Linked DNA regions of Pelodiscus sinensis. The protein of the gene in region 4 purifies or fractionates together with the protein of the main gene of each other region. This does not show direct contact. Links are inferred from orthologs where the notes say so. Each region holds a gene or a part of one and is shown on either strand. Other genes may lie near its edges.

What was found.
Region 1: the proteins of CDC5L (region 4) and GCN1 purify together in Homo sapiens (affinity purification with mass spectrometry; 3 studies listed by BioGRID and IntAct, with this or other methods). This does not show direct contact. The link is inferred for Pelodiscus sinensis from reciprocal best matches to the Homo sapiens genes CDC5L and GCN1.
Region 2: the proteins of CDC5L (region 4) and PRPF8 fractionate together in Homo sapiens (co-fractionation; 5 studies listed by BioGRID and IntAct, with this or other methods). This does not show direct contact. The link is inferred for Pelodiscus sinensis from reciprocal best matches to the Homo sapiens genes CDC5L and PRPF8.
Region 3: the proteins of CDC5L (region 4) and BZW1 purify together in Homo sapiens (affinity purification with mass spectrometry; 3 studies listed by BioGRID and IntAct, with this or other methods). This does not show direct contact. The link is inferred for Pelodiscus sinensis from reciprocal best matches to the Homo sapiens genes CDC5L and BZW1.

What each region holds. Positions count from the first base shown.
Region 1 is NC_134725.1:9,279,783-9,286,725, reverse strand, and holds the start of GCN1 (stalled ribosome sensor GCN1), read right to left. Parts: upstream 3,020-6,943; 5' UTR 2,895-3,019; coding exon 2,877-2,894; intron 1-2,876. UniProt on the Homo sapiens protein: Ribosome collision sensor that plays a key role in the RNF14-RNF25 translation quality control pathway, a pathway that takes place when a ribosome has stalled during translation, and which promotes ubiquitination and degradation of translation factors on stalled ribosomes.
Region 2 is NC_134731.1:1,006,371-1,013,938, reverse strand, and holds the start of PRPF8 (pre-mRNA-processing-splicing factor 8), read right to left. Parts: upstream 3,002-7,568; 5' UTR 2,849-3,001; intron 1,989-2,848; 5' UTR 1,978-1,988; coding exon 1,878-1,977; intron 1,091-1,877; coding exon 922-1,090; intron 1-921. UniProt on the Homo sapiens protein: Plays a role in pre-mRNA splicing as core component of precatalytic, catalytic and postcatalytic spliceosomal complexes, both of the predominant U2-type spliceosome and the minor U12-type spliceosome.
Region 3 is NC_134717.1:73,488,207-73,495,707, reverse strand, and holds the start of BZW1 (eIF5-mimic protein 2), read right to left. Parts: upstream 3,013-7,501; 5' UTR 2,860-3,012; intron 2,774-2,859; exon of another isoform or gene 2,641-2,773; intron 2,029-2,640; 5' UTR 2,017-2,028; coding exon 1,953-2,016; intron 27-1,952; coding exon 1-26. UniProt on the Homo sapiens protein: Translation initiation regulator which represses repeat-associated non-AUG (RAN) initiated translation probably by acting as a competitive inhibitor of eukaryotic translation initiation factor 5 (EIF5) function.
Region 4 is NC_134713.1:10,745,669-10,753,417, forward strand, and holds the start of CDC5L (cell division cycle 5-like protein), read left to right. Parts: upstream 1-4,748; 5' UTR 4,749-4,965; coding exon 4,966-5,010; intron 5,011-7,749.

The DNA.
Region 1 (6,943 bases), on a different chromosome or scaffold from region 4:
GGTACTATTGTTTTGTAAAGGGTACTTTACAAAAAAAGGTTGAGAAACATTGGTCTATGCTACATACTTTAATCCATATCTTGAGTATTTCACTTATGATTTCAGAGCCTCAGTTATTAGGGATGTAAAATCCTGTTTAAGTGGTTAACCAATTAAACGGGATGGGTGGGTGGCCACTCCAGCACAACGGTGCTGGAGCATTCCCCCAACCCACCACAGCCAGGCTAGAGCAGGTCCTCCACAACAGGCAGGGGCTGCTCCAGCCTGGGCCTGCTCTAGCCTGGGCCCCCACTGGGCTGGAGCAGCCCTCGGCCTGTGGTGGGCAGGGAGCTGCTCTAGCCCCCCACTGATTAAACTTTCACATCTCTGGTTGTTATGAAATTGTATAAGAGGGCTAACAAATGAAAGGTTTCTCTTTGTACCTTAACAGGAACCAGTCACGTGTTCATGGAGTTTGAGGAGGTTAGTTTCTTTTTTAACTGAAACATCTATCAGGTTTAAAAAGTCACATCCTATTTATAAAAACTCTTTCCTATGTTATCACACAAGTGGAGATTTGATTGTTAATTTTTTGTTTCACCTTTTATGCTCTTTACATCTAACCTAGCTGAAGAAGGATGTTTAAATTCCATTCTCAGTATTAACAATTCCTTAATTTTTAAAAGAATTAAAACTTTAATAAGTTTTGTAAAACATGTATAAAAAAATTTGTTCTAGGCTGTTCTAGTTAGGTATGTTAAAATTTGTTTGTGCAAATGTGTATCTGCTGAAATTACATGCTGGGGGGGGAGGCAGTGCTCATGGGTATCTGACTTTAAAACCGGCTCCCCGCAAGCACTGGCTCCTGTTCTCACACACACACCTATGCTGCCTCTGCGTCAGAGGTGGGAGGGCAGTCAGCTCACCAGTAGCCAGAATGCATGGGGAGTAGACTTAAGGATCCTGCCTTCTGCCCTCCCCCAGGCTGATGCCTCTGATTCAGAGGCCGCAACCCAGAGAAAGGGAACAGTATGGCTCAGAGGGAGCCAGTAAGTGAGCTTGAAAGCTGGCTTCTCAACAAGCCAACTCCTCCACCCCATGCTGCTACCTCTATATCAGAGATAACAGCACAGAGGTAGGTGGCTCCACAGGAGCCAGCACTTATGAGGAGCCAGCACACTAGCTCTACCCACTCACCCATGGCAAGTAGATTACAACCCAGAAGAGCCGGCGCACAGCGATCTGCGCATGCGCAGAACCGCACGGCTGGCGAGTGGGGCTCGCCGCCACTTGGTGAACCCTGCCAATGAGCAATTAAGATTAGAGTAACAGAAGGACTAAAGAAAAATATATAGCGATATTTTTTCACATTATGTTTAATGGGTCTTCCATATAGCCAGTCTCACTGATTCCCTTACAGAAGCAGTGAATTTTGTCTACAATTTGTGTGAAAGCTTTATATGGCAACAACAAAAAATTGTTTAAAATATACAATAATGATACTAAAATCATAAAATGTATGTAAGCTCTCAAGTGGCTGGGATGATGGCCAAGACTACTTAGAAGAACCAGTTCAGTTTACGTAACAGTTTACATAACATAAGAACGGCCATACTAGGTCAGACCAAAGGTCCACCTATCTGCTGACGGTGGCCAACACCAGATTCCCCAGAGGGAGGAAATACAACACGTAATCACATATGATCCCTCTCCTGTTATCTATTTCCAGACAAACAGAGGCTTAGGGACATCATTTCTACCCATCCTGGCTAATAGGCATTGATGGATCTAACCTCCATGAATCTATCTAGCTCTTTTTTGAACCCTGCTAACTTCCCAGTCTTCACATCCTCTGGCAGGTCCACGGGTTGACTGTGCACTGAATGAAGGAAATCTTCCTTTTGTTTGTTTAAAACCTGCTGCCTATTAACTTCAATTGGTGACCCCTAGTTCTTATATTGTAGGAATAAGGAAATAACTTTTCCTTATTCACTTTTTCCACACCAGTCATGATTTTATAGAGTCTATCACATCCCCACTTAGTCTCCTCTTTTCTAAACTGAAAAGTCCAAGTCTTTTTAAACTCCCTAAATATGGGACCGGTTCAAAACACCCTCATCATTTTTGTTGCCCCTTTCTGAACCTTTTCCAATGGCAATATAACTTTTTTGAGATGAGGCAATCACATTTGTACACAATAGGCAAGATGTGGGCATTCCACGGTTTTATATAGAGCCAATCAAATATTCCCAGTTTTATTCTCTCTCTTTTTTAAAGGATTCCTAACATCCTGTTTGCTTTTTTTTGTTTGTTTGTTTTGACTGTCGCTGCACACTGAGTGGATGTTTTCAGAGAAACTATCCACAATGACACCAAGATCGCTCCCTCCAGTATTTGTAGCTCAATCAGTCCCCACCCTATTGTACAAATAGTTGGGGTTATTTCTTCCAATGCGCGTTACTTTTACATTCACCAACATTAAACTTCATTTGCCATTTTGTGGCCCGAATACTGAACAAAACCCGTCGATTTCATCGGGCCCCTTTCTCGCACGGGTGTCACACGCTGGGCCGGCCCCGAACTGCGTCCCCTGCGCCTGGCCCAGCGCGGAGAGGCCCGGCTGTGAGGCTCGGGCAGGCCGGGCTCCGGCCGCGGGGCCGCCCCCCCATGACACGAGGCTGCCTTGGGGCAGGCGAGGGCCCGGCGCGGGCGGCCTGGGGCTGGAGAAAAGCCCCGGGCGGCTCGGGGGCGCTGACACAACTGCCACGTCCCCTCCCCGGGAGCCGGCCCGGCCCAGTGAGCGGGAACCGCGCGCGGCGGACGGGCGGCAGGAGCCGCTCTCCCGGGGCCGCCTCCACCGCGCGGCGGGGCCCAGCCCCCGCCCCCCGCGCACCCACCTGCGTGTCGGCCGCCATCGCGCCGGTCTGGCCGCGGAAGTGCTCGCGGGTTCACTTCCGGGTCACCCCACCCGCGCTCCGGCCCGCAGGTGGCGCTCGTTACCAAGGAGATGCCCGAGCTCGAGGCCTGGCCCTGAGCCAGCCCCGCTCCCTCCCGCCTCCCCGGGAAACTGAGGCACGGACCGCGCCCCAGGCCCGGGCCCGCGGCGCCGACACACGCCCGGCCCGGCCTGTCCGACCCCCCGCGGGGCCCGCCCGTCTCGCCGAGGGGGCCGCGTCGCACATGGGGGGGGGGCAATTTTCTGGACTAGAAACCGGGTAATGAGCAGCCTGGGCCCAGCCAGCGTGGAGGAGGCGCTTCCGGCGGAGCCGCTGGGCCCCTACGGAGCCGTTGTTTTAAACCTGCTGTCAAGCCCCGTGTCCGGAGCCTGCGCGGGACATTTTCTCAGAAGTGATCACCCGGCTTCTCGTGGAAACAGAAGGGAGTGAAAAGCCCTGGAAAGCAGCTGGTTGGGCCTAACATTTTGTCCCCTGTCTGGCACAATGAACGCCCAGCTGGTCCACCCTCGCAGTCGGAATCTCCACCCATGTTTCATAAACCACAGGGCACCCCAGCTTCAGTTTGAAACAAAAACTTGAATTGCTAAATTCTGCTGCACAAATGGACTTACCAGTGCAATCAAGTAGTAAATGAGGGGACCCCACTGAACCATGCCACTATTGTTCCCCTGAAGTCAGTTCCAAAGCTGCAATAGGCAGCCCAGTAAACCTCAAAGACCTTGGCTGTGTCTGCACTGGCGCCATCTCCCGCGCAAAAGCGGCCGCTCTTGCGCAAAAACTTGCTGCCTGTCTACACTGGCCGCGCGTTCTTGAACAAGTAAACTGACGTTCTGACGTATAAAACCAAGGCTTCTTGCGCCAGAACTCTGACGCTCCCGCTCAGGAATAAGCCCTTTTGTGCAACTGTTCTTGCGCAAGAGGCCAGTGTAGACAGGCAGCCAAGAGATTTTGCGCAAGAGCCAGCCAAACAGAAAAAAGCTCTGGTGGCTGCTTGGACGCTCTGTACGTGCAGTCACCACTCTGGACTTCCTGGTAACCTGAGCCCCCTTAAAGGCACATGCAGCCTGCAGAGGCCACGTGGCAGACACACCTCTGCCACCGAGCTCTCCTACGCGGCTCTGCTCCTTCAGCCACCAGCACCACCCAGGATGGCCACTCCAGGGAGGCACCAGCAACCCACACCCCCAGCTCAGGAGGCCCCAAGGGGCACAAAGAGGGGCACCCCATCCTGGTCCTCTGTGGAGATCAAGGGCCTGTTGGACCTCTGGCCCTCCATGACCCCTGTGCCCATTGGAGGAATGCAGACATATTCCGCCGCATGGCCCAGGTGCTCTCCCACCAGGGCCACCCAGCCCAGACTTTCGAACAGGTCCGGGCCAAAGTAAAGGAGCTGTGTCTGGGCTATCACCAGGCCAGCGAGGACCAAGGGGCAGGAGCTGACCCTATTACAAGCGTCTCATTGCCATCCTGGGCGAGGTGGCACCCCAGGGACCCTTGGTGCCCGTGGACACCAGCAGGTGCCCCCGTCACCAGGCACAGCAAGGCAGGGGACGAGGCAGAACTGCCCGCTGGGTCGGAGGAGGACGAGGATGACCAGGGGAGCACCATCGCCCTGCAGCTCGAAATGCTATCAGGCAGCCTGGACGTCTCCAGCATGTCATCAGAGGCCAGGGAAGGATCCACTGGTAAGTGTTGCACTTTGCACTCACAAGGGCGGGGGGGGGGGTCACTCAGGCAGCGTGAGCTGCACACTGTGTACCAGTATGCAGCACGTGCAACCACATGCAGCCTGGTGACTGAGCTGCCTGCCCCGATGCGGCCTGAACACTATGCAGTTGTCTGCCACCGCAGAGGCAGTTGCAGGGGCCACCCCTCCCAGCAGTAGCTCCCTCCTCTCCCTCCCAGTTCAGAGCCCCCTCCTTTCTCCCACCCTACGTCCCCATTGTAAATAAAAAGTTCAATGTGTTGTTTTCCACAAAAAACTGTGTTGTTTATTGGGAGGTAAGGGGAAGGGGGGAAGTAAGGGTTGGGGATGGGATGGAGATGTAAAGGGAGACAGAGGCGACCCTATTGTGGGGCCTGGGAGAACATCTCCGTCGGGCCTCCTGGATGTGCACCCCATCATGGTGAGCCTGGCAGATGGCACCTGTGCATGGCTGTTCAAAGGCCTGGCCCTCATCTGCCATCCATGCCGGGAGGAAGGCCTCCCCCCTATGCTCCACTATGTTGTGGAGCACACAGCACGCGGCCACTACTTCGGGTATGTTCCACTCTACCATCTCAAGACTGGTGAGCAAACAACAAAACCGGGCCTTCAGACGGCCAAAGGCACAGTCGACCTGGTTGAGGCGGTCATTGAATTGTGCCCGGTTGTGGTCTGTCTGCCCCATGTAGGGCCACATCAACCAGGGCAGCAGGGGGTTGGCACAGTGTAAATTCCTGCTGCGGGAAGAAAGTGCCTGCCTCCAGCCTGCAAAACAGGCTGGAGTGTCGTAGAATGCGGGCGTCGTGTGCCCTGCCGGACCAGCCCGCATAAATGTCCATGAGGCAGCCATGGTGGTCCATGAGGGCCTGGAGCACGATGGAGAAGTGCCCCTTGCGGTTGATGAAATGGGCCGCTCAATACTCCGGGGCACAGAGGGGGATGTGGGTTGCATCCAGGGCTCCCCCGCAGTTGGGGAACCCTAGGGCAGCAAAGCCGGCCACCGTTACATCCCGCAGGCGAATGACTCGCTGAAGCAGGACGTCATGTAGAAGGGTGCACAGAAACACAAGGGAACACATCACATAAGGCAGGTTGAGTGCATGCTTCCTTGGGGGGTTTCCACCCCCCCTTGTGATGCCCTCTGTCCTCTCACACACCAGGGCCCCCACAGGCCACCCCTTCGCCCCTCCCCCCACCAGCAGGCTTGTGCAAGGGAGGGATGGCCCAAACCCCTGGGTGACAGGGCATCGCCCCACTCTCCCCATCACCCCAGTCTGGAGTCTTGCCTGCCCCATGGCATGGCATGCAGCACCTTCGTCGTCCCCCCCCCCCCCCAAGGACTTACCTGCATGACGACAGCACCGATGGTTGATCTGTCCACCCCGAACTGGTGTGCCACCAATCGGTAGCTGTCCAGGGTGGCCAGCTTCCAGATGGCAATGGCGACCCTCTTGTCCACGGGGATGGGTGCCTGCAGCTGGGTGGTGCTTCTCTGGAGCGCAGGGGTGAGCCAGGCACATAGCTCCAGGAATGTCTGCTTTCTCATCCGAAAGTTCCGGAGCCATTGCTGGTCATCCTATTGCCCCAGGACCAGCCGGTCCCACCAGTCAGTACTGGTGTCCAGTCTCTACAATGGCCTCTCCACGGTGAGGTGGGGATGCCACAGGAACGCCTCCGCCTCCATGGTGAGGGAGTCCAGAGCGACCTGCACCTCAAGGTCCTGGAGTGCAGCAGCATGGAGCAGCAGCTGAGGCTCTCCAAGATGGCTGGAAGGGGCCAGAGCAGGCACAAGGCCACCCCTGGCTCCATGGCACAGCAAAAGAGCTGACAGCAAAAAATCACCAAATGGCATGAAGGCACAAGCTGTGGTGTCCAAGAAGGCAGAGGGCAACCACTACTAGAACTGCTATGGCTGACAGTCCCTGCTAGAGGTACTAAAGCACGCAGCAGGAGAGAAACGGCTGTCCAGGGAGATCCCTTTAAGCATGTCTCGAAGGAGCTCCAGCCCCCACTTCCACCCCGGAAAGGCCTGGTGCCCTTTTGCCCTCTCCAAAGTGGTTCTGGGCTAATGCTTTTGCGCAAGAGCGTCCAGCCAATGTAGACGCTCTCTTGTACAAAAGTGCATCGCTCTGACAATGAGCCCTGGCCAACGCAGACACTCTTGCACAACTACTTTAACGTGAGAACGCTTGCCCTAAAGAGCTTTTGCGCAAGATCGTGCCAATGTAGACATAGCCCATGTGTCTAAAGTGATCCACCTGTACTTGCTTATTTACCATAGACAGCTCCTTAGTACATCACC
Region 2 (7,568 bases), on a different chromosome or scaffold from region 4:
ACTGACCAATCTCCACCGGTCAGCCCCGCTCCCCCGACGACCCTCCCCCACCAGTCCTGCTGCCCCCGTCCAGCCCTGCTTCTGGCACCTGATTCTCCCATCCTCCTCCTCCTGATCTCCCCCGGGCAGCTCTCCCTCCTCCCATGCAGTCCTGGTTCCGCCGCCTGCCCTCTCCGATAGCCGCCGGCGGACAGCCCCGCTACCCCCAACCCTGCTTCTGCCTCCCACCTGCCCGCCGCCCCCCCAATCTCTGCGGGACAGCCCCACTCCCCCAACCCTGCTTCCGCCCACCGCCCGCCCACATACCCAGATCTCCACGGGACAGCCCCGCGCCCCCAACCCTGCTTCTGCCTCCCACCTGCCCGCCGCCCCCCCACATCCACAGAAATTCATCTTGTGAATTTCTAGGGACTCTGCATATGGCCAGGAATGAGCAATGAACTTGATTTTGAAATGCAAATAAATGCTTCTCTTGCATTTGGATCACCCAATCACTGTGCAACAGGCATCTCTTCTGAACTCCTTCAAGCCTTTTATTTAAAAGAAAAAAAAAGATCGATGCTTCTGCACAATAGCCTTTACCTGATAATTCAAGCACAACCTCGGCTCCATTCCACCCTACTTATTTCTGTTCCACTGCTCACAGTCCATCTCACAGTCCATCTCCATAGCATTTTACAAGAGCTCACAGTATAGAATTTTCTTCTATGCACAGAGTTTAAAGTAACTGAAATCTCTCTAGGGGAGGTTTTGGATCTCTCGGTGATCTCTACAGGCCAGTGCATATCTGTGGCATTGGTGTAGTGCAGCGTGCTGCTTACAATTCCATCGTCCAGGAATGGAATACCTGTAACCATATATGCCCTACCCAGAGCCCTCCTTGCCCTGGACATGGATTAGAATGCTCATTGCTCTCCTTACCCCAAATAAACTCGTTTGTCATGACGAAACTTCCTGTTAGTCATGTCACCATGGTCCCGGATAATCTTCCTCACATGTTCTGGGGGCATGTCCTCCTTCTGGGCATCCACAAAACCAAACTTCCTCTTCTCAGCATACCGCTTTGCCTGCAGCTGCTGCCATTTGCGGGCTACACAAACAAGAACACACACAGTCCAGTCCAACCAGAGCACCATCATAAAAGAGACTCCAAATCAACATGAGCCCAAAATTACATGGATAGTGAATGTACAGAGCTCTACTAGTAATGCAAAAAGTATTTTGAACAGGGTACAAATCTTTATGCATCAGAGTTTATACCATCTCTAACCCCACCAGGGAGCAGGAAAAGGCACTCTCACACCTGCCTACAGTTGGCCTCTTGCACCGTGCTCTGAGTTATGTAGTGCTGGAGACAGGACACTGGCCCAGAAGGACCCCTGCTGTTATCCAGTCAGGCAGTTCTCTATTCCTGTGCAACCACCACCTTTGCATTCACATTCTCCTCCGATTCTCCCAATGATGCCTGGCGTATCGCACTGGCAAGAGCAAAGAGTTGCAAGAATCATAGACTAACAGCTGTGATTATAATTGCTATGTTGTTTACTCTGAACAGAGTTTTACTGCTAAAATACATGCAACTGACAGCAGTCTGCTTAGGGCAGTCTCACAGGTTGCAACAGAATAGTGAGAAAAACCCAGCAAAACAAAGTAGGGCAAATGCTCATGCACCATAAATCAAATGAACTGAACAGCTTAGTGAGCAGAATACGATGTCTGACATAACACAACCAAAGGACACAGAATTCACTGTGGGGCACAGAGCCTGCCTGGCCTTTGCCTAGCTGTTGCATGGACCTGGGACCTCTCTGTCACCGCTTCCAGGAGTGCATAACCCACAAACCCTGTCTGGGACACATTTCAATAAGCTCTTGCACCTTTCTCCTGCAGCTTCTCTTCAGACATGTAGTCGGGCAGTGGAGCCAAGGGACTGGGCACTGGGGCACAGCCCCCGCGGTAGGGAAACACTCCAGCCATGGAGAGGCAGGCTAAGAACCAAGGGGAGGAAGGAAGAGCAGGCTCAGGTTAGTCAATGCCCGCCACAGAGCGGAAACACACCCAACGTCACAGCCCTCTTCTCCCGCCCCCCGCCGCCACCAGCGACCCCCACACACCCCGCCCCCTCCTCCCGACCCCCCCGCACACCCCGCTCCCTACACCCCGACCCCCCCGCCCCTCCTCCCGACCCCCCCGCACACCCCGCTCCCTACACCCCGCCCCCCGCCCCCTCCTCCCGACCCCCCCGCACACCCCGCCCCCTCCTCCCGACCCCCCCGCACACCCCGCTCCCTACACCCCGCCCCCCCGCACACCCCGCTCCCTACACCCCGACCCCCCCGCCCCTCCTCCCGACCCCCCCGCACACCCCGCTCCCTACACCCCGACCCCCCCGCCCCTCCTCCCGACCCCCCCGCACACCCCGCTCTCTACACCCCGACCCCCCCGCACACCCCGCTCCCTACACCCTGACCCCCCCGCCCCCTCCTCCCGACCCCCTCGCACACCCCGCTCCCTACACCCTGACCCCCCCGCCCCCTCCTCCCGACCCCCTCGCACACCCCGCTCCCTACACCCCGACCCCCCGCCCCTCCTCCCGACCCCCCCGCACACCCCGCTCTCTACACCCCGACCCCCCCCGCACACCCCGCTCCCTACACCCTGACCCCCCCGCCCCCTCCTCCCGACCCCCCCGCACACCCCGCTCCCTACACCCTGACCCCCCCGCCCCCTCCTCCCGCCCCCCCCGCACGCCCCGCCCCCTCCTTCCGACCCCCCCGCACACCCCGCTCCCTACACCCCGACCCCCCCGCACACCCCGCTCCCCACACCCCGCCCCCTCCCCCCGCACCTGTCTCCGCTCAGGCCCCTCGTGCCTCGCCCCGCGGCCTCCCGCTTCCCACCCGCAATGGCGGCCCCCGAGCGTCGCTGCAGCGCTCCAAGGACCCGGATGGGCTGAGGGGGCGGGGCCAGTGGGCGCTCTGACCATTCAGCTCTCGGGCTGGTGACAGGTGGGCTCTCCAGCCTATGAGCATCCGCGACCGGCTAGGAGGCGGGTCCGGCCAGCGGAAAGGGCGGGGCTTGCTAGGTCAGGCGCGCGGGTTTTCTTCCGGTCGGAGACCCTCCCACAGCTCGTGTGGAGCCACGCCCCCTGCAGGCCACGCCCCCATGCGTGGCTGGCCGCTGTTGCCCCTGGACCCTAACGATGGCGCCAGTGGGCTGCGGGCCCTGCCCTGGGCTGGTGGAGGCTCCCAGCAGGCACCAGAGCCGGGCCGCTGCCGCCATCCCTGGGCAGGGGCGGGCGCAGCCGGAGCCGCTCAGCCCAGGCGCCATCTGCCCGCCCCCGGCAGCCGCCCAACGGCCCATTTACTGCACCAGCTGCTGCCTGGCCGGCCGGGCCCCACCGCAGCCCCCGTGCCCGTCGGGCCTGGCCTCCCGCGGCTGCGCTCTGCTTTGTCCTCGCCTGCCGCCCTTCGCACGTGGCACTGACCTGCTGCTCTGAGCGGGACGGCCGGGCCGCACCCGAGAGCCAAGGCCTGGGCATGCCAGGGCCAGCGGCGCATTCAGAAGCTCTGCGGGGTCGGGTCGGGTGGGCGGTGCCTTTCTTAAGGGTTCATCGCACATGCACAGGTTCACCCGACTCCTGCACCCCGTAGGGGCACGGACAGACTCCGCCAGCCAGTAGAACAGGGGGAGTTTATCGCTTCTCCAAGGATGCAGCACAGCACAGATGGAATCAGGTTACAGGGCAGGCCTAGGATGCCTCAGCCCCCTTGAGATGGGGGTGACTGGGCCCCTAATTCCCAGGCCCTTGCTTAGGCTGCTTCCTCCATCATGCCAGACAGAAACTGACCCTCTTCCAGCCTTGCCCCCCAGACAGGGGTAGGTCTCCGCCTTCCTCCCTTTGTCTCTCTCCCTGGGAGGGGACCTGTCGGACAGGTTGGGAGACCCTTGCCTAGTGACTCATCCGCTGTCCTGTTGGGCCGTGCTACAAATAGCCGCCAGTGGAGGTCACCCACTGCCCAAGCCCAGCAACCAGCAAGGCCCCCCCCCCCCCCGTACCACACTGGGTTGTAGAGCAGACAGCACCCCCACTACGTCACAATCACCTTCTCAGCTTTGACTGTCACTGGGCCTGAGCACCTGCTCTCAGAGAATTGGCCACCAGGATGCCAAGATCTTTTTTTTGAGTGGTAGCAGCAGCTAATTTAGACCCCATCATTTCCTATGTCAGGGTTACTCACCTTTGGAAGCCCTGTGGGCCATAATGATACTCATAGCACCATAGGCATGCGCACGGGGTGTACCAGCTGTGCCCAGGCACACCCTAATGTCTTGGGCCAGCTAGCAGCTGCTGAAGGAGGAGGGGGACTTGAGCTGGGGAGCCGCAGCCCCTAACTTTCCCTGCGGCCATCTATGGGGCACTTTAGGGCAGAGAGAGCATGTGCGCAGAGGACTACAGACCACCCCTGTCCTTCCAGCCCCGTCCTCGGCCAGCCCGGCAGCACTGTGCAGCACCCCTCCTGCGCCCCGGGTCCCAGACACGGCCCCACCCAGCCAGGCAGCACTGCATGGCGCCCCTTAAAGTGAGGCACCCAGGGCTAGGGCCTGGCTGGCCTGTAGCTGGGGCCGGCTCTGACTCCAGCCCCACAAACTGGAAGACAGAAGCCAGCTTAGCCAAAGGTAAGGTAAGATAAGGGAGAGGAGGGGAAGGGGGAAAATTAGGGGGCAGAGGTGAGAGAGGAAGGGGCTTGTGCTGAGAGGAGGGGGGCAGGTCAAGAGAAGAAAGGGGAAGGCACCAAGGGACAGGGTAGAGGAGAGACAAATGCCAGGGGGCCAAGTGCAGACAATGAGGAAAAGGGCAGGAGGGGAGGTGTTAGTGGGAAAGGAGACAGGGTGATGCTGGGAGAGGAGAGGGTAAGGGCTTTGGGGGTTAGAGGGAGGAGGGGGAGGTGCTGGGAAAAGGCATGAAAGAAGGGGTGGGTATGAGGCAGGGATAGAGCAAGACGTGTGAGGGCACAGGGGCATGAGGAGAATGGGGGCAGAGGGTGGTGAGGGGTTGAGTATTAGGGGCAAAGGGGGCAGGGGCAGTAAGGGAAGGGGAGGCACCAGGAGGGTGCAGGGCTAAGGGAAGGTGCAGGTGCCAGGGGATTCTGGGGTGAAGCAGAAGGGCAGACACCTGCAGGGGAGGGACCAGCACCAGAGGAGAGAGGCAGGGCAGGTGTAGAGGGAGGTGTTAGGAGAGGTGATGAGGACGGGTAGCTCTAGGGTTACCAGGTGTCCGGTATTGTACCAGACAGTCCGGTATTTGCACGCTCTGTCCAGTAAAAAAAATGAGAAAATACCAGACACGTGCAACGTGCGGTATTTTCTGATTTTTCCGGCTGCGCACCGGACAGAAGCCTGGCGTGTGCGGGGGAGAGCGGCTGGGAGGCGGGGCCGCGATTGCCACCAGGAGCCCTCAGTCGGTTGAGTGTGAGGAGGAGGGGGAGCCTCCTCCTCACTCGTGAGTCGCCAGGAGCCTGCGCGGGACAGGCAGCAAGTGCCCAGGTCAGTCCTGCTCCCCGCCGACCAATTTGCTCACCCCCCCCTTCTCAGCTGGCTGTTTCTCCCTCACTTCCCCTCCTGATCTTCCCCGACCAGCCCCCCTGCACCCTCCCCAGCTCTGCTTCCCGCCGTCCCGTTCCTCTTCCTGATCTCCCCCAGCCAGGGCCGCTGCACTGCCCCCCCGCCAGCTCTGCTTCCTGCCCCCCTTTCTCCCAGCCACCCTCACGGCCCCTGATCCCCCCAGCTGTGCTTCCCGCCCCCCCTTACTTGCAGCCATCCCTGCCCCCTCCCAGCCGGTCCCCCCTCCCCTGATATTCTGCGTCCAGCCCCGTTCCACCCGGCCCCCCTCCCCACAACCAGCCCTGCTTCCTGTTGGCCCCCCCATCTCCTCCGGCCAGCCCTGTTGCCCCACCATTAGCTGTTTCCAGGCCCCCCCATCTCCTCCCCTCCCCGGCCAGCACCACTCCCTTCCTAGCCAGTCCTCCTCCCCCTCACCCCCCCCCCCCGAAGCATATCCGGATTTTTGGGTTTTTTTTAAATGAGTACCTGGTAACCCCTAGCAGTGATCCAGGTCCTTGGAGTCTATTTTTTTTTCCACTCAACAACTTTGGTGTCCCCCCTTTTTTTTCCTTCAACAAAATTTTTCCCCGTCTTTTTTTTTGGGGGGGGGGGTTCAGTATTTTTTTTTCAGCCATCTGGCAACCCTAGGTAGCTCACATGAGTAGAGTGGGGCTACTGGAGGAGTGGGCACAGGGGGGAGAGAAGGACTGGTGGAGGGGGGCAGGTTGCAGGAAGGCTGAGGGCAGTGAGAAGGGCAGGAGTCAGGACAGCAGAGGGAGCAGCAGGCACCAGGGGAGCTGATGGAGCAAGGGGAGCCACGGCAGCAGAGGGAAAAGGTAAAGGGTTATAAGATATTTATTAATAACTTGGGTGGCACATTGAAACAAGCCACATGAACTCAGTACTGGTGCACAACACAAAATTCATTCTGCTCATGGGAGGAAACTTTTAGAGGGACACTTCCCCCAGCCTCTCTGCTCCCGAATTAATGTCACACACATTGGGGTAATGCAATTGCAGGATAGTTGCATACAGGGGTGGATGAGAGTGCTGTGGGGCCCAGGGCAGTGCCGCGGGGCCCAGGGCAGTGCCGCAGGGCCCCGGGCAGCAAAATTTCACGGCCCCCCCCTTTGACACAGCGCATGCGCCGTGGTGCCAAGGTGCATGCGCGGGGCCTCGGGAAGTGCGGGGCTCAGGGCAGCCGCCCCGCTCGCCCTGCCCTAAATCCGCCGCTGGTTGCATAAGGGGAGCTTGGTGGGGGCCAAATTAATTCCTGTTGGTAGGAGGATGGTGGAAAAAGTCCTTGGGGGGGTCACATGACACCTTTTACTTCTGGTCATGTGTCACCTCCGGAGGTGTGGCCAATAGGGGTCAGGGGCGTGGCTAATGGGGATCAAAGTACATTTAAAAAAAATTCTCTGGGTGCACATCCCAATGAAATGTGCTGTGCATGCATATGCAGCTCACGTGTGGTTGCAGATATATGCAGACAGCTTCTTTCGCACTGACAGGCATGAACACAAAGATGAAGGCAACACTACACAACACGCAGGCCCCATTTCAGTCAGTTCTGCTGATATTAATAAAATGCAACATTCCCCCATTTCCGCCCTTACAACAGCACTTGGAATGAGCAATGACAGTCTAGGAATGTAACTACTAAAACGCATCTCAACAGAAGACCGTTATATTGACGACTTTTTTGTTTTGGCTCCCACCTGCGGGCTGTGAGAGCCCCACGTAAACCCAGACTGCACCACGGGCCGCAAACAAACAGGCCACATGCGGTTCACAGGCTGCATGAGTAGCCCTGGCCTATGTAAGGGAAGTCAGGGCCCATAGAGACACTTAGACACCCCCCAACTGCAGCTACCCCCTTCTCATTGGTTTGCACTGATGAGCTCATTGTGGGAACAAACCAGAGAGGAAACCCAGCCCTGAGGCTCATCCCCATGCACAGGAAG
Region 3 (7,501 bases), on a different chromosome or scaffold from region 4:
AGTAGGGTCAAACCTCTCTTTCTCATCTGCAATAGAAGAAAGCATTTGATAAGCCTAATTTTAAGATAATACTGTCAATGTTCTGTATCAGCATCTTCCAATTTCATGAATTCATTCATTAAGGAAACTGGCAACAGTTTCAAAACTACGAGTTGACCAGGGAAGTCAGAAATAGCGAATGCAGACAGGAAGTTTGCCATTCATTTAATATAAATACACGAGGCTGGCATTAGCTATTTGACCTGAACATGTCAGTTATTCTTTGTCAACTAGATGGGAGATTCCTACAAAGAAAAGTGGTAGGGGCTTTAAATCCATCAAGTCCTCCCAAATGTTTCATTCAATTGCTTTTCCAGCTCGAGTCATTTCACACCTCTCACTGACATAGCTATGCCATCCTAAGCATACGTATAGATGCAGTTATGAGAATGAAGCATGTTTCCACTGACAGCTAACTTTTGAGGAGGCTGCATTCCTACATCTATGGAAAAACCTGCATCTGTGCCAACACAGCTATGTACATATATCTATACACAGCTATTAGTCTCAATAGTACACACACACCCCCTGGGAAAAGAGGCAATCTTTTATTGAACAGCCATCTACAAGACGAACGGAGGTAGCAAAGTCACCGGTAGGTGAGAATACAGACTTAAATTGAAGCAATGTTTGGAAGATAATGAAGTTAGAAATATTGTGTATGCAAAAATAAAGCCCTATTTTTCCACTTCACCAGTGTTTCATCCAATAACACATCTAAATTTGAGCCAGAAAAAAAAAAAATATTGTCTGTACTTTGATGCAATCATGAATTTTATCATTATTACTGCAAACAATTTAAGTCAGTGACAGGCAACTGAGACTAGCGAGTGGACCGCATGAGCAGCCCTCCAGTCTTGCAAGATTGTTAACCAAAACAGTCTCCCAGGATAGGGAAGTTTTGCTAGCTACAGCTGAGTACCTAGAACTTGCAAGGTGTACTGATTGAACCATATGGCACTATGATTGGATACAGAGGGAGCACATAGCTCTGACAGCAAGGCATGCATGCAATCAGCACTGGCTTTTTGCGCGTCACTTATGCAGACAAAATCAAGGAACCCCATGTGTGACCAATAGAAAACAAAATGTCTTGGAGGCCAAACAGAACTCTGATGGGACAAAGATCACCCAATCACTGATTTAATTCCTAATTTCCCTGTACTTGAGACAAATCTGGTGAATTCATGATCTAAAATCAGATGCTTTCATAGTCACTATGGACAGAATGAGAAATCACTAGAGTACTGAAAAGCATGAGCTAGCCAGCCTTCTGGAGAAAGTAAGCACCTTCCCCACATTCAAGAAGTTGACAGAGCAAAATAAGGTCCCTGATATACAACTGCACCTACGACCTCAAAGTATTATTTTTCCTCAACAGAGAGTAATCAGAATTTAAGCTGTTTTTATGGTGCAAGGCACATTTTAAAGGATTTAGCTTGCAACAGAGTATATTTTTTCTGGTGTAAAAAATTTACTTCATGGTTAACTTTTAGGTTTTTATTTACCCATGCTTATATGATAGCTATGTTCTTAAAAGATTAGAGATGCGGTCCCCACACTTTTGAGGGACACACTTTTGCATTCTCTGCCCCAAGGACTGGGAGCAAGGCCACAGCTTAAGAGATGGGGAGAAAAGAAAGGGAAGTGACAGGGGTGCAAGGACAAGTGAAGCTCCACTCCTGGCTTTCCCTGGAGCCACAGCCAATGTCGGAAGCTGGGGGCTGCAATGAGAACATGGAACTAGAGCAGAGTTGGGAAGTGATTGGGTGACCTAAGGAAGTTAAAATGAGGTTGGTTCCTTTACTAATAGATTAGTCAACAGAATTTTCATTGCTTACTCAGTCAATAAGGGAAAACAGCTTTTCTACAGAGTTGGCCATGAGCTAGAAACAAAAATAGTTAATATTTACCTCTTTTTCTAGTTTTAAAACGCTGGCCTGATAGCGTTGGCTTCTGCTGCTTTTGATTATTCATAAAAAAGACACCCTGTACCAAAAAAAGAAAAAATTCTTGACAATCTCATTAAGAGGCAAATGATTCCTACGCGATGCTTTAATTCATAAGCACGTGTACAGTAGCGAATACACATCTGCCGGTGGAAACAGTCCACACAGAAAAGCCCGCTCTGCTACTTCGCCAGCCTGCCTGTTGGTTAAGAACATCCACAATGTTAAAGCACCTGAGATCATAGGACATTTTCACTCATGCCAGGGAGTATTTATTAGCTGTTAGGCAAAGACAAATTAGTCTCATTAAAAAAAAAAAAAAAAAGATACCACAGGATAACTTTAGGGCGCAGGTGAACTTTTAGCTGCTACGTGACCTTGAGCCAAGCGCTCCCTGGTGCCTCAGTTTCCCTGTGTCAGACAAGGGGATCGGGCAGAGCACAGGGAGAAGCGGGGGGGGGGTATCGAGATCCAGCCCCGCGGACACGAGACGGTTCCCCGCAGCAGGCCGCACGCAGGCACCCAGCGCGGGCGGGACAGCAGCCGTGAGGCGACTCCCGAGACCCAGCCTCCCGCCGCGCCCCGCCCGAGCGGGAACGGGGCAGCCCCGGGCCCCACGCGCCCTCCTCTCGCCGCGGGGCTCGGCACCCACCGGGCCTCCCTCGCAGAGGCGGCCGCTGCAGACGCTCTGGAGCCGGCGGAAGCGGGGCTGGGGGCGCCGCGTCTCGCCGGGCCGCGCTCACCGCCCCCCCCCCCGTCACAGGCCGCGGCTTTGTTACCCGGCGGGCCGGGGGGGCCACCAGGCCCCGCACTAACCCGCCCCGCCCCGCCCGCTGCCCCCGGCGGGCCCCGCGCCCGGCCCGCGCCTCACCGACTTTAAGGCAAAGAGAAAACGTCCACGGGCCCCTCAGTGCAAGCGGCGCGAGCGGAGACGGCGGCAGGCAGGCGGCGGCTAAATCCTGCTGCGAGCGGAACCAACGCGGAGAAGGGGGGAGGGCGGGGGCGGGGCGGGCTCCACCTCCCGCCGGGAGACATGTTGGGAGACACCATCTCACCCGGAGGGGGAACCAACCTCGCGTACCTCATGTCCTGACCGCCCCTGCACTAGCACATGGCCCCTCCCCCCTGTTCGCTTCGCGGAGGGCGGCGCTGCGTGCCAGCCGCTCACTGCCCCGAGGGGACAGGCACTGTCCGTGGCCGCAGCGAACGGGCGGATCCAGCTCCCCTTTCCCAGTCAGTGAGCGCGTCCAGATCCCCCCCCCTCCTCCTGCTTTACCGTCATTGGCGGACCGTGGTCTCACCGCCCGTCTCAGGGAGTGGATCAGTCCATTGAGGGGGCGGGGGGAATCGCTGCGGCCCGGGAAAGGGTCGGCGACGGTTTGCATCCCCGCGTGTGAGAGGCAGCGCCGCCTGCGGGGCGTGGGGCGCCAAGCAGCCTCGCGCCGCCATGTTAGCGGCTCCCTCCCCCGCCCCCACAGAGCGCGCTGGCCCCGAGCCCTGCGGACCCCAGCCCAGAACCGCCCCTCCGCGTAGCCCGCAGGACCCCCGCGCCCCCCGCATAGCCTGAGGCCCGGAAACCGCCGGCCCCGCCCCGCCTCGTCTGACCCCGCCCCGGAGAACGGAGCCCAGAGCTGCCCTCGAGCCTGAGCCCACCTCATCGATTCGCAACCTTTGAAACGCGAAAGGCCTGCGCCCCTAGCGACCCCCCCCCCCCTCAGGGGGGCACCAGCCCCTCTAGCTGGACGCTGAACCGTTCACACAGGAGCTCTCCGTGGACTGCCAGGATAAAGCAACATTGCAGAGCCACGTTACAAAAAGCCCCCCCAGCCTAGGAAGTTATTTTTCTGACAATTGGCAAATCTTTAGCCAGACTGTAACCCTGCTCGTATAGTGGAGCACAGAACTGCGCTCCACAGGCGGATCGAGAGCCTCCTCCTCCAACAGTAGGGTTCAGAGTAGCTGCATGTCCTTGGCACCCTTGAGTGCAAGCCTCCTGAAGGGGAGGCAGTCAGCAGTTACGTGCTAGGGCCCATAAAAAGGGTTCATCATAAAGGGGTTGGTGATAGGGTGGGGGGTTAATTCCAGTTACAAAAAACAGTAAGCACCGACTGACCCTGGTGGGGGGGGGTGCTTTATGCATTAACAGTTGTCAGCAGAAAGTCCCCACGTTACTCCACTGTGCATTCTGTAAGTGTTGATAACGCCCCTGCTTACAAAAGTGCATAAAGCACCCCCCCCCCACCAGGGTCAGTCGGTGCTTACTGTTTGCGATGCCCTTTTATAAATATGTACAAACAACTTACATCACTTCTTTACATACCAGGTTGCCACCCTCTGTTGTCTAGTTACCACCCCTCACCTTGCAGAAGGGGAGCTTACTTACTATCTTTCATGCTGTCAACTTCAACCCAGTCCTGAACCTAGGTCGGTATATACATTAGTTTTTGTGGAGTCTTTGGTACCAAGACGTTTCTTATTGAGATGTTCTGTTACTCCCCTCTGGATTACAATCTATCCCCTGTGCCTCCCCATATCCTTCCATGCTTGACCTAATTTACACAATCACACAATTATCAATAGGGCCTCTTTCTTAGCTCCTGTGTTACTGAACCAAAGTCTTGGTCACTAGATTCTAGGTCTGTTGCTGTTTTCATGTTGTAGGCCTTTATTCAGGCCTGCTGACTCCATGTTACTGACCCTGAACTTACTACAGTTATGAACTCTGTTTGTGGTGTCTTCTTATGTACTCTGTGGTGTTTTCCTAAATTAATGCCACGTTACTTCCTGCCTCTTATATTAAAGGTTTCTTTACTACACCCAGACTATGTGCTTGTGAGTGGGGAAGCATTGCCTTCTATAGGCGCCCAGGGGTGTTGTGTGAATTTCCCAGGTTACTAGGTGGGGGATCAAGCCAGTTCTGTGTTGGATGGATGGAGAGGAACCCCTAGATATTGAACCAGGCCCTGGCTGCTGCTGGTGCTACCTGGCAGAAGGGTTACACATATTAGGAAAAACTATTTCATTAGGAGGGTAGGTGGTAAGTGAAGCACTGGAATGGGTTACTTAGGAAACTTGTGGAATCTCTCCCCATCGTTAGAGGTTTTTAAGGCCAATTTTGACAAAGCCCTGGCTGGAATGATTTAATTGGGGTTAGACCTACTTTGAGCAGGGGCTTGGACCAGATGATTCCTGAGGTCTCTTCGAACCCTAATCGTCTTATGATTTCATGCTACAAAGCAGCTGATCAGAGCTTCATGTAGTGTTCCAAATAAATGTTCTCAGCCAGACATTCTTTTCCTATATTTATTTTTATTGAAAACGTATTTAAACCAATACAATCATTCCAATTAGCAATCCTATAGAATCACAAAACCAAAACAATATGAAAACAAACTACCACATCCCTTAAGAGTGCACCTCATTACACATTGCTTCTATTCACTCCTACTATGTTCAAATCCAAATTTTTTTTCAGGCTATGATTTCTTTGATGACCCAAATCTAAATTAGTTCATTTGTTCAAAATTTACCAAAAAAAGGAGGAGTCCAAACGTAAGTTACAGTTCACAAACATCTTAACCTAAAATAACTAATACAAAACTAAACTATTCTATTAGCTAACTTCTGCCATTATACCCCTATTGGGTTTGTGAATTTGCAAGTCACTAAGGCTATGTCTACACTGGTGTGATCTTGCACCAGAGTTATGCAATTGAGACTAAGCATGGAATATCGCCAAGCCTCATTTGCATATCTAATGAGCCGCCATTTTTGCAGAAGCGGCTCTTGCGCTAGAAGGAGCTGTCTATACTGCCCCTTCTTGCACAAGAAAAACCCTCTTGCACAATGCCGCTACGCTGATTATTTTCAGGAATAACGGCATTGCGCAAGAGGGTTTTTCTTGCGCAAGAAGGGGCAGTGTAGACAGCTCCTTCTAGCGCAAGAGCCTCTTCTGCAAAAATGGCGGCTCATTAGGTATGCAAATGAGGCTCGGCGATATTCCACGCTTAGCCTCATTTGCATACTTCTGGCGCAACAACCCGCCAGTGTAGACATAGCCTAAGGGTTTATCTACACTGCACCCATAGCTCGAAATAAGCTACGCAATTTGAACTACACAAATTACGTAGCTTATTTTGAGTCAATTTTGAAATAGCGCAAAATTTCAAAATAAGCTATCTACATAGCATTTATTTCAAAATAAATCACTATTCTGAAATGTCCCTTACTCCTTGTGGAATGAGGTTTACAGGGACATCGGAATAGCAAGCCCATTATATTTGGAAATAACATTGTGCTCAAAAGACGCAAATAGCTATTTCCAGATACCTCTGGTACCCCGAAATAGCGCTGCAGTCTAGACGTAGCCTCAGAATTTTGCTTTGTTGTGTTTTTCTCATCAGTTGCAAGTGGTAATAGTTTAACAAGAGAAATGGACAGGCCTATTTTACCAGTAGGTGGCACAAACATGTTATACATTTATTGCCCTATACACATATTTGTAAAGAAATAAAGTATTATATTTTTGTCTCTAATATTTGCACTAAATATGATTGCAATGTAACAAGCTATAATTTGTTCTCAGGTACACTGGTGTAACTGCATAATTTCCATTAAAACCAATGGAGTCCTTCTAACTCTACACATGTGTAACTGACAGCAAAATGTAACCTAATGTAAATAAAGCGTATTGTACCTATAGAGTTATTTCTTAGGCTAATTTATACCGTGTTTTTTCTTGCAATGACTTTTCCAGCTTTGAACTTTCAAGTGTGATTATTAACCATTTAATTGCTGCTTCCAATTGTGCCAGCCTGGGCCACTCGTTCTTCAGATACCTCCATATTTTTCCCAGAGCTTTACCTATGTATGGGAGAAATCCCCCCTTAAAATCCATCCTTAAACCTACTTCTATCATGTTGCCTACAAATCACTACTATCTGGCACAGGTTTGGCAAGTGGTGAGCTGACAGCTTTTTTTATGAGGAGATCCATTTGTTTAGTTGTGTCTTTTCCTTCTTAATTCCACATCTACCCAGCTGTGTGTCTGTATCATCCACTCTGTTGAATCCTATCTGAGGCCTAGACTCTGAAGCTATTTGGGGAAAGGAATGTCTCTTTTTTTATGGTACATGCCTAATATAATGGGATTGGGATTCCAAAATGCTACAGTAATAGATACAATTAATAATAATGTCAACAAGTGAGTCATAAAGTGGATGCAGCAAGTGGCAAAGAACCATAGTTTGTGATTTGGGGGTATATTCTGCTTTCTCTTATGTCCATATGTTATTAGCTTGAAGGCCATGGGATTACTGGGTTACTCCAGGTTTACAGTGATATAACAGAAAGCAGACTTTGGTCTATAATTTATCCAAAATTAAAGGTCTCCTTTCTGTCAGTACAGGGAGCTGCAATTAATGATAATATCTTGGTCCACAAATGTGTGTGAGAGTGGGTTTTAACCATTAATAGATTTGGGATGCTTTAAACCAACAGTGATGGAAACAGTC
Region 4 (7,749 bases):
CCGCTTTTTTCCGGCTTTTAAAAAAGCCGGAAAAGAGCGTCTACACTGGCCCCGATCCTCCGGAAAAAGTGCCCTTTTCCGGAGGGTCTTATTCCTACTTCAAAGTAGGAATAAGACCCTCCGGAAAAGGGCACTTTTTCCGGAGGATCGGGGCCAGTGTAGACGCTCTTTTCCGGCTTTTTTAAAAGCCGGAAAAAAGCGGCGGACATTTTTATTTAAATGCCGCGGGGGATATTTAAATCCCCCGCGGATTTCCCTACGACGACTGGTGAAATTTACATGCCCCTTCCGGAAAAGGGGCCAGTGTAGACGTAGCCCTGGTATTTGGCACAGCGTCTTCTTTGGGAAATAGGGGGGGTGAGGCATGTAAAGTCACATGCTGCCTTCACAGCTTTCTGCTAATGTTCACCCCAGAATGCAGCCAGCTGCAGTTCTTAGGCGCTGTGTGGGAAGCAAGGGACAGAAGCTATTTCCACCTCGGGATGGGGGAAGGGATAATCTGGCAGCGCTCATCTCTTCCCCTGCCACTGCTCCTATGTTTAGGAGCAACTTGTCCTTTCCTGCCCATAGTGTCAAAAGCAGCTAATACTTTCAGGCTTCTGTTTGCCACCAACATAACCCAGCTGCCTCCTGCCCCCTGCCTACAGTGCAGGCAGGAAGGGGTTAAGACCTAAGACTGCTTTGAGCGCTAGGGCTCAGGAACCTGGCAGCAGAGGCTTCAGCAAAACCAGCCAGAGAGGTGGCTTTGCAAAGGAGGGCACCTAGGGAATGAAGCAGGACCCAGAAGTGGGTGAGGGCTGGGCAGCATGTAAATAGAACCTTCTGGCACCTGCCTGCATTCATCAACTACTGCAGCCAATGCCAGCTAGATGGGGGATGCGGCTCTGCTGATTGAGAACCAGCATGCAGCAAGAGCTGCACTGACAGACAAGCTGGGAGAGCAAGCTACCCCCCGCCCTCCAGCTTTGCAAACCCACCTCTATTGTTGGCCATTGGACCCCTTCCCACTGCTTTTGCGTAAGTAGCTGGCAAGCAGGGATCCAGCCAGCCCATACAGCTGGACCCACCGTAACTGATGGGAAGGAGACACGAAATACAGAACAATTTGCCCATTTTTAAGAAAAGGTCAAGACAACTGTAGGAGGGCATAAATACAGGACAGACCTTTAAAAAATGGGACATCTGGTCACTCTTTTTACTGATGGGGAAACTGAGTCAAAGAGTGATTACATGGCCTACCACTGATAACATGGGAAAGCAAGTATATCTTAAATCTGGGTGGTTTCCAAATGGCTAAAACACTTTGGCTAATTTGTAATCATGTGAACTTGCAAGTTGCAGAAATATCTTATGCTCAAAAAGAACAGTTTCTTCATTAGAGGGATAGCAAATAATTTTTACACAGGTGGATACCTCAGCCACCAATGATGCCAGTGTCCATTGTGCTATTTTTTTAACACTATGAGGTTTATCATACCCTGATGAAATTTCAGGAACAATCTGGGATAGGCCAGCCTCAATCACCCACATTTTTAATTTGTCCAAGATGAAGCCCTACTCTTCCCCAAACTACTCATCATGACTCACTACTACCCAGAACCTTGGTTTCATGTTTCAGTGGAAAGACACCACCAGAGTTCTACCTATTGTCAGACACATATGTTGTTTGAATCATGTTTGAGAAAAGAACATCCTCTTCTTCACCAAAACTTTCTTCTGCACAAGTTGGGTCTTCCTTTACTTCTTCAGTAAACACGGTAACATGTGAAAGTGTAGTCTGAGGAGAGGAGACATGGTTGCGGCAGGGGCAGTTTACACAGTTTTAAATACACCACACTCATATTAATTATTTGGCAATTATATGGCAGCACCTAGGGACCACATTAGGAACAAGATACAAGTGTGCTAGGTATTGTACATGCAGAATAAGAGTCGCCCTGCTCTAAAGAGTTTACACTGTAAATAAGCAAGACAAAGAATAATATCTAATCTTAGTAAACAATGAGATGTCAGCAATAAGGTTTTTCTTAATAGTGGGATGGAGTTATGTTGTTGAAAGCAGATTGGCTAAAAAAGGTAAAAAATTGACATTTAAGGAGGAGAAGAAATAATGGGAGCTGAGAATGAAGATGGAGTAAATGAGCAGGAATAGGGAAGCAGAAGCCAATAGACTGCCATTACAGAGGCAAGTACTGCAGTGTAAATGCTGTAAAAACCAGCAAGAAGTTGCTGACATCTACAGGTTGCTGCTGCAGCTGTTTTCCTTTGCTCTTCCTGGTTGAGTTTCTAGCTGGCTCCTGCCAGCACTTCCTTTTGTCGTAACTCACATGGTTGAGAAGTATGGGACTGCATAGGCTCTGGTGCACCAGACAGGAGGTCTCCCCTACACAGTGTTGGGTCTGGAGATGCTAGAAAAGGGAAGAAGAGCAACCTTAACTGGATTACAGTTCCTGTTTCTCTTAGTGGTACTACTGTACTTGCGTCAGCTGTTTGTTTTTCCTCTATTACTGCTGCGTAGTTGTGAAAAAATGTATAGGTGCAGCCTTCTTAGAGCTTAACCAGTGTAATACATATAGCTGTGTGTTGTGATGAAAGGACCAAGTTAGGAAAAGGTCCAAATGCTTAAAATGTAAAAATTCAAACACCTTAAATCTGGCTTCAGGTGAGCATGGATGTCACTATATCAACCAAACTTTACCATGTACCTGTATTGTAAAATTAGAGGCACAATAATACTTTGTTAAATCTATAATTACATTTAATGCAAGTTTAATTAATGCACATGAAAGAAAAATATTTCCTTTATTTTTCCAGTTTAATTGGTGTATTTGACAGCAGTTGGGTACAGATAGTCTGTTTCCTCTGTGTGGATCTTTCATACAGCAACGAGGGAGAAGAAAACATTTTTAAAGCAGTAAAAATGTGTAAAAGTCATTCTTGTCCCAAATTGACTTAAGATTGTGGTATGACCCCTGCTTTTTGTATTGGCTGTTGAATGAGCCACTGATAGTGAAGACTGCCGCAGGGTCTGGAAGAAGATCCATATTTTGAATTAATAGAGTATCATCTTCTCCCAGATGCCCTCTGAAACCTCTACAGAATGCTCCAGTTCAGATTTCTGATGTGGCTCTCTTCTATGGACATCTCAGAGGGGTCGTTGTGTTGGTCTGTAACTTTAAAAATGAGTAGTCCTGTGGCACCTTATCGATTAACAAAAATATATATAGTATCATGAGTTTTCGTAGGCAAAACTCACTCATCTGAAGAAGTGGGTTTTGTCAACTAAAGCTCGCAATACTATATATATATTTGTCAGTCTGTAAGGTGCCACAGGACTACTCATTGTCTCTATGGAAGTGCTTGTCTAAGGCTCCCTTTGTAAGGAAAAGGTGGCTTCCTTGACTACCAGCTCTGCAAACGCAATGTGGAATGGGAAACCAGCCTAGGGCAATCTCAGCAATGCACACATGCATCCCACTTCAACCCAAGGGACACTTTCTTTACAGACAGGCACTTCACTTCCACACACTGCCATACCAAAGCATAGTTCTGCCTCCACAGACAGCTCCCCACCCCAAAGCACTGCCTCACCTTCAGACAGCTCCTCACCACCCTATCCTGAGAGACGCCCACCTGCACAAACAGCTCCTAGCCCCAGGAGACACCCACCTCCACAGAGAGATGAACAGCTCCCTTCCCCCAGCCCAAGAGGTACCCACCATCACAGACAACTTCCCCCCCCCAAGAGCCACTGAACCGCAGACAGATCCGGAGATCTCACCTGCACAGGCTCCCCTCCTGAAGAGACACAATATACACAGATGATAGACAGACAGCTTTCCACCCACCCTCCCAAGAGATACCCCCCTTGCACAGACAGACAGACAGCTTCCACCCCCTCATCCTAAGGGACATCCCCCCCTTGCACAGATGGACAGAAAGCTTACCACTCCCTCATCCTAGGGGACCCCCCTGTTGCACAGATGGACAGCTTCCCACCCCCTCATCCGAAGGGCCCCCCGTCCGTTGCACAGACGGACAGACAGCTTCCCAGCCCCTCATCCTAGGGGACCCCCCCATTGCACAGATGGACAGCTTCCCACCCCCTCATCCTAAGAGACACCCCCTCGTTGCACAGAAGGACAGACAGCTTCCCACCCCCTCATCCTAAGAGACACCCCCTCGTTGCACAGACGGACAGACAGCTTCCCACCCTCATCCTAAGGGATCCGCCGCCCCTTGCACAGACGGACAGACAGCTTCCCACCCCCTCATCCTAAGGGACACCCCCCCTTGCACAGACGGACAGACAGCTTCCCACCCCCTCATCCTAAGGGACCCCCCCTTGCACAGACGGACTGCTCCCCCACCGCAGTCCCAAAAGACCACCCCTGCAAAGTCAGACAGAAGGACAACTCCCCAACCCTCCCCCCGTCCCAAGAAACACTCCCCTGGACAGCCTCACTTTGCTTTATAAACCCACACACTCCCCCTCCTGCGCCCACCGTCCCACGAGGCTCCCACGTGCGGGATCAGCCCCAGCCCCACTCCCTCCTACCCGCCTCCGCCGCGTCCCTTTTCCAGCCCCTAGTGTCGGCAGCTTGCACCAGCCGGCGGGGTTCTGTGCCCGCAGCACCTCCAGGCACCAGGTGGCGCTGTGACAATTCTCCCCCGGCCTGTGCCAGCTATTCCGTCTCCCCCTCCCTCGTCCTTCACAGGAGCTGCGCACGCGCAGCGTTTGTCATCCGCCCACTAGCGGGCGCCGCGTGCCCTCTCAACGCGCCTGCGTGCAGCTTCGAGCCACGAGCTAACGGCCCGTCGGCTCGGAGTTTTGACACATTCCCTCCGCCCTCGCCCCCACGGCGCCTGCGCAGGATCTCAACCGGCCGTAGCGCGAAGAGGGGTGTCTCTACCGCGCCTCCGCCGACTCTTTTCTTCTGGAGCCCGCTCGCCTCCGCCGCCAAGATGCCGCGGATTATGATCAAAGGGGGCGTGTGGCGAAACACCGAGGTAGGGGCCGCTTCCCGCCGCGGGCCTAGCCGCTGAGACGCCGCTCCGCAGCGAGAAGGGGCAGTGGCGCGCATGCGCTGAAATGGGGTGGATGGGGGTTGTGCGCATGCGCGGAGCGTGTTGTCGGCATAGTCTGAACTACTTTTATGCGCCTGGGGTTCTCTACCGCCCCTCCCCCCCTAGCTCAGCATTCGCGGGCCCCAGGGGGCGGGGCTCGGATCCTCATGGGCCCTGTGTGCGGGGAGCTGCCCCCTCTGCAGCGTGGGGCCCCTAGTGTGTGGCATGGGCAGGGGCTCTGATCCTCATGGGCCCTGTGTGCGGGGAGCTGCCCCCTCTGCAGCATGGGGCCCCTAGTGTGTGGCATGGGCAGGGGCTCTGATCCTCATGGGCCCTGTGTGCGGGGAGCTGCCCCCTCTGCAGCGTGGGGCCCCTAGTGTGTGGCATGGGCAGGGGCTCTGATCCTCATGGGCCCTGTGTGCGGGGAGCTGCTCCCTCTGCAGCGTGGGGCCCCTAGTGTGTGGCATGGGCAGGGGCTCTGATCCTCATGGGCCCTGTGTGCGGGGAGCTGCCCCCTCTGCAGCATGGGGCCCCTAGTGTGTGGCATGGGCAGGGGCTCTGATCCTCATGGGCCCTGTGTGCGGGGAGCTGCCCCCTCTGCAGCATGGGGCCCCTAGTGTGTGGCATGGGCAGGGGCTCTGATCCTCATGGGCCCTGTGTGCGGGGAGCTGCCCCCTCTGCAGCGTGGGGCCCCTAGTGTGTGGCATGGGCAGGGGCTCTGATCCTCATGGGCCCTGTGTGCGGGGAGCTGTCCCCTCTCTAGTCTGGGGCTCTCAGTATTTAGAGTATTTAGTATTCTGTGTGTGGAGAGCTGTTCTCACTGCAGTCTAGGGTCCCTAGTATGTAGCATGGGCAGAGAACCCAAATCCACATCAGCCTTTTGTGTGTTGGGAGCTGTCCCATATGTAGTCTGCCCTCCCTCCCCCATAGCATCAACAAGGAGCACAGATCTGTACAGGCCCTGTGTACAGGAGCTGGTTCTGCTGTAGGCTGAGGTTCACAGTGTGCAGCATAACCAGGGGTCTTAGATCCATATGAGTGCCTGTGTGCTGGTAGTGGTCCCTGTGTGCATGAATGGGCAGGGACCTGTTGGAACTGGTTCTTCTGCAGCCTGGTGTCTCCAGTGTGCAGCATAAGTAGGTGGCTCGTATCCCCACGGGTCGTGCGCGCTGGGAGTTGTTCTCGCTTGCAGGCTGCTGTTCACTGCAACGTGGACAGTTGGCCAGAGCCACATGGGTCCCTGTGTGCTGAAAAGTGTTCCTGTCTGCAGTCTGCTTTACCTGCTTCCTATGAGGGAGGGTGAGGCTAAGTATAGCTTGCACTCCTATGGTAAGAAGCATTTCTGACAAAGCAAATATTTGATCCTTTACATAACTAAAGTTTGATCATATCCTGACCTAACAAGCACAAACAATTCCCTCTATTAGGCAAGACTTGTATTCTCCTATCTTCTCAGACATCCAAAGATACTCTCTCCTCTTCATCTTTATCTTCTCAGGGGATGGTGACCTAAAGACCCATCACCTCTGAGGGCTGCTATCATCTGTGGTGACTGGTTCACAGTAAACATGTGTAGCTAAATGATGGTCATGGGAAAATTGCCAGTGATTATTTTTACATCATAGCAATGTTACTTGTGATGCTAACTTATAGCAAATGGTGTCTTATCATACTCCCCTCTCTCACTATATTATTATGCAGAGAAGACTTTTTAATTTTTTAGAAAGAGCTAAACATTCCCTTGACATATCTCAGTCCAAATTTCAGAGCTTCAAGTTAGTCACAATGCAGTCTGAAGTAGGGATGTTAAATGTCAGTTAGTTGAATAGTCGAGTAACTTATGAATTCTCATCGATTACTCGACTATTCTATAGTCCCCAGGGGCAGGGCCAGCAGCCAGTGTAATCCAGCCCCACTCCTGAGGATCACCCTGCCACTCCATGTTGCTGCCTCTGATACAGAGGCAGCAGTGCTCAGGGCCAGGCAGAAGCTGGTCTGCGAAGGGAGCCAGTTTAAAAACCACCTCCCCTCATGGACTGACTGCCTGTCACGCTATGATGCTGCTTCTTATACAGGAGTGGCAGCAGCTCCTGTCTTGGGTGAAGGGTAGGTCTGAGCTCCTGCCTGCTTACTTCCTAATACACTTTAAATGCAGAGCCACAGCGGGGATAGGTCCCAGACTCGGTGCAAGCCAGGACTGAGACAGGCTACTGGCCAGCCTCCTAAAAATTGTACTAGGTAGCAGTGGGAAATGCATGTAGTCTATAGCATTAACCTATAAACTTTTGCTTATTGCTTAATTGGTTAATTGACTACACTGTTACTGAAGATTTACGTACACTAGGTATGTAAGCCTTGTGCTATGTGTTCTGTGGTATAAGGCTTATACTGCAGAGCCCTCAGCACAGTCAGCAAGTCAACTCCCAGTGCCTGCTGGCTCCCAGCTGTTGGCCTTCTCCCGGGGAGCCGGCTGCTGCTCCAAGCTGTGGGCTCTGAAGTATCAGAGCCTGCAGCACAAGGCAGCAGCAGGCTCCCTAGGAGTGGGGCCAGCAGCTAAGAGCTGGGGCCATTGGGTGTGTAAACCACTCCCAGTGAGCACTGCCTCTTACTCCAGCTGCTAGCCCCATTCCCGGGGAGCCAGCTGTGCTGTGGGCTCTGCAGTATAAGGCTTATAAGCTTATG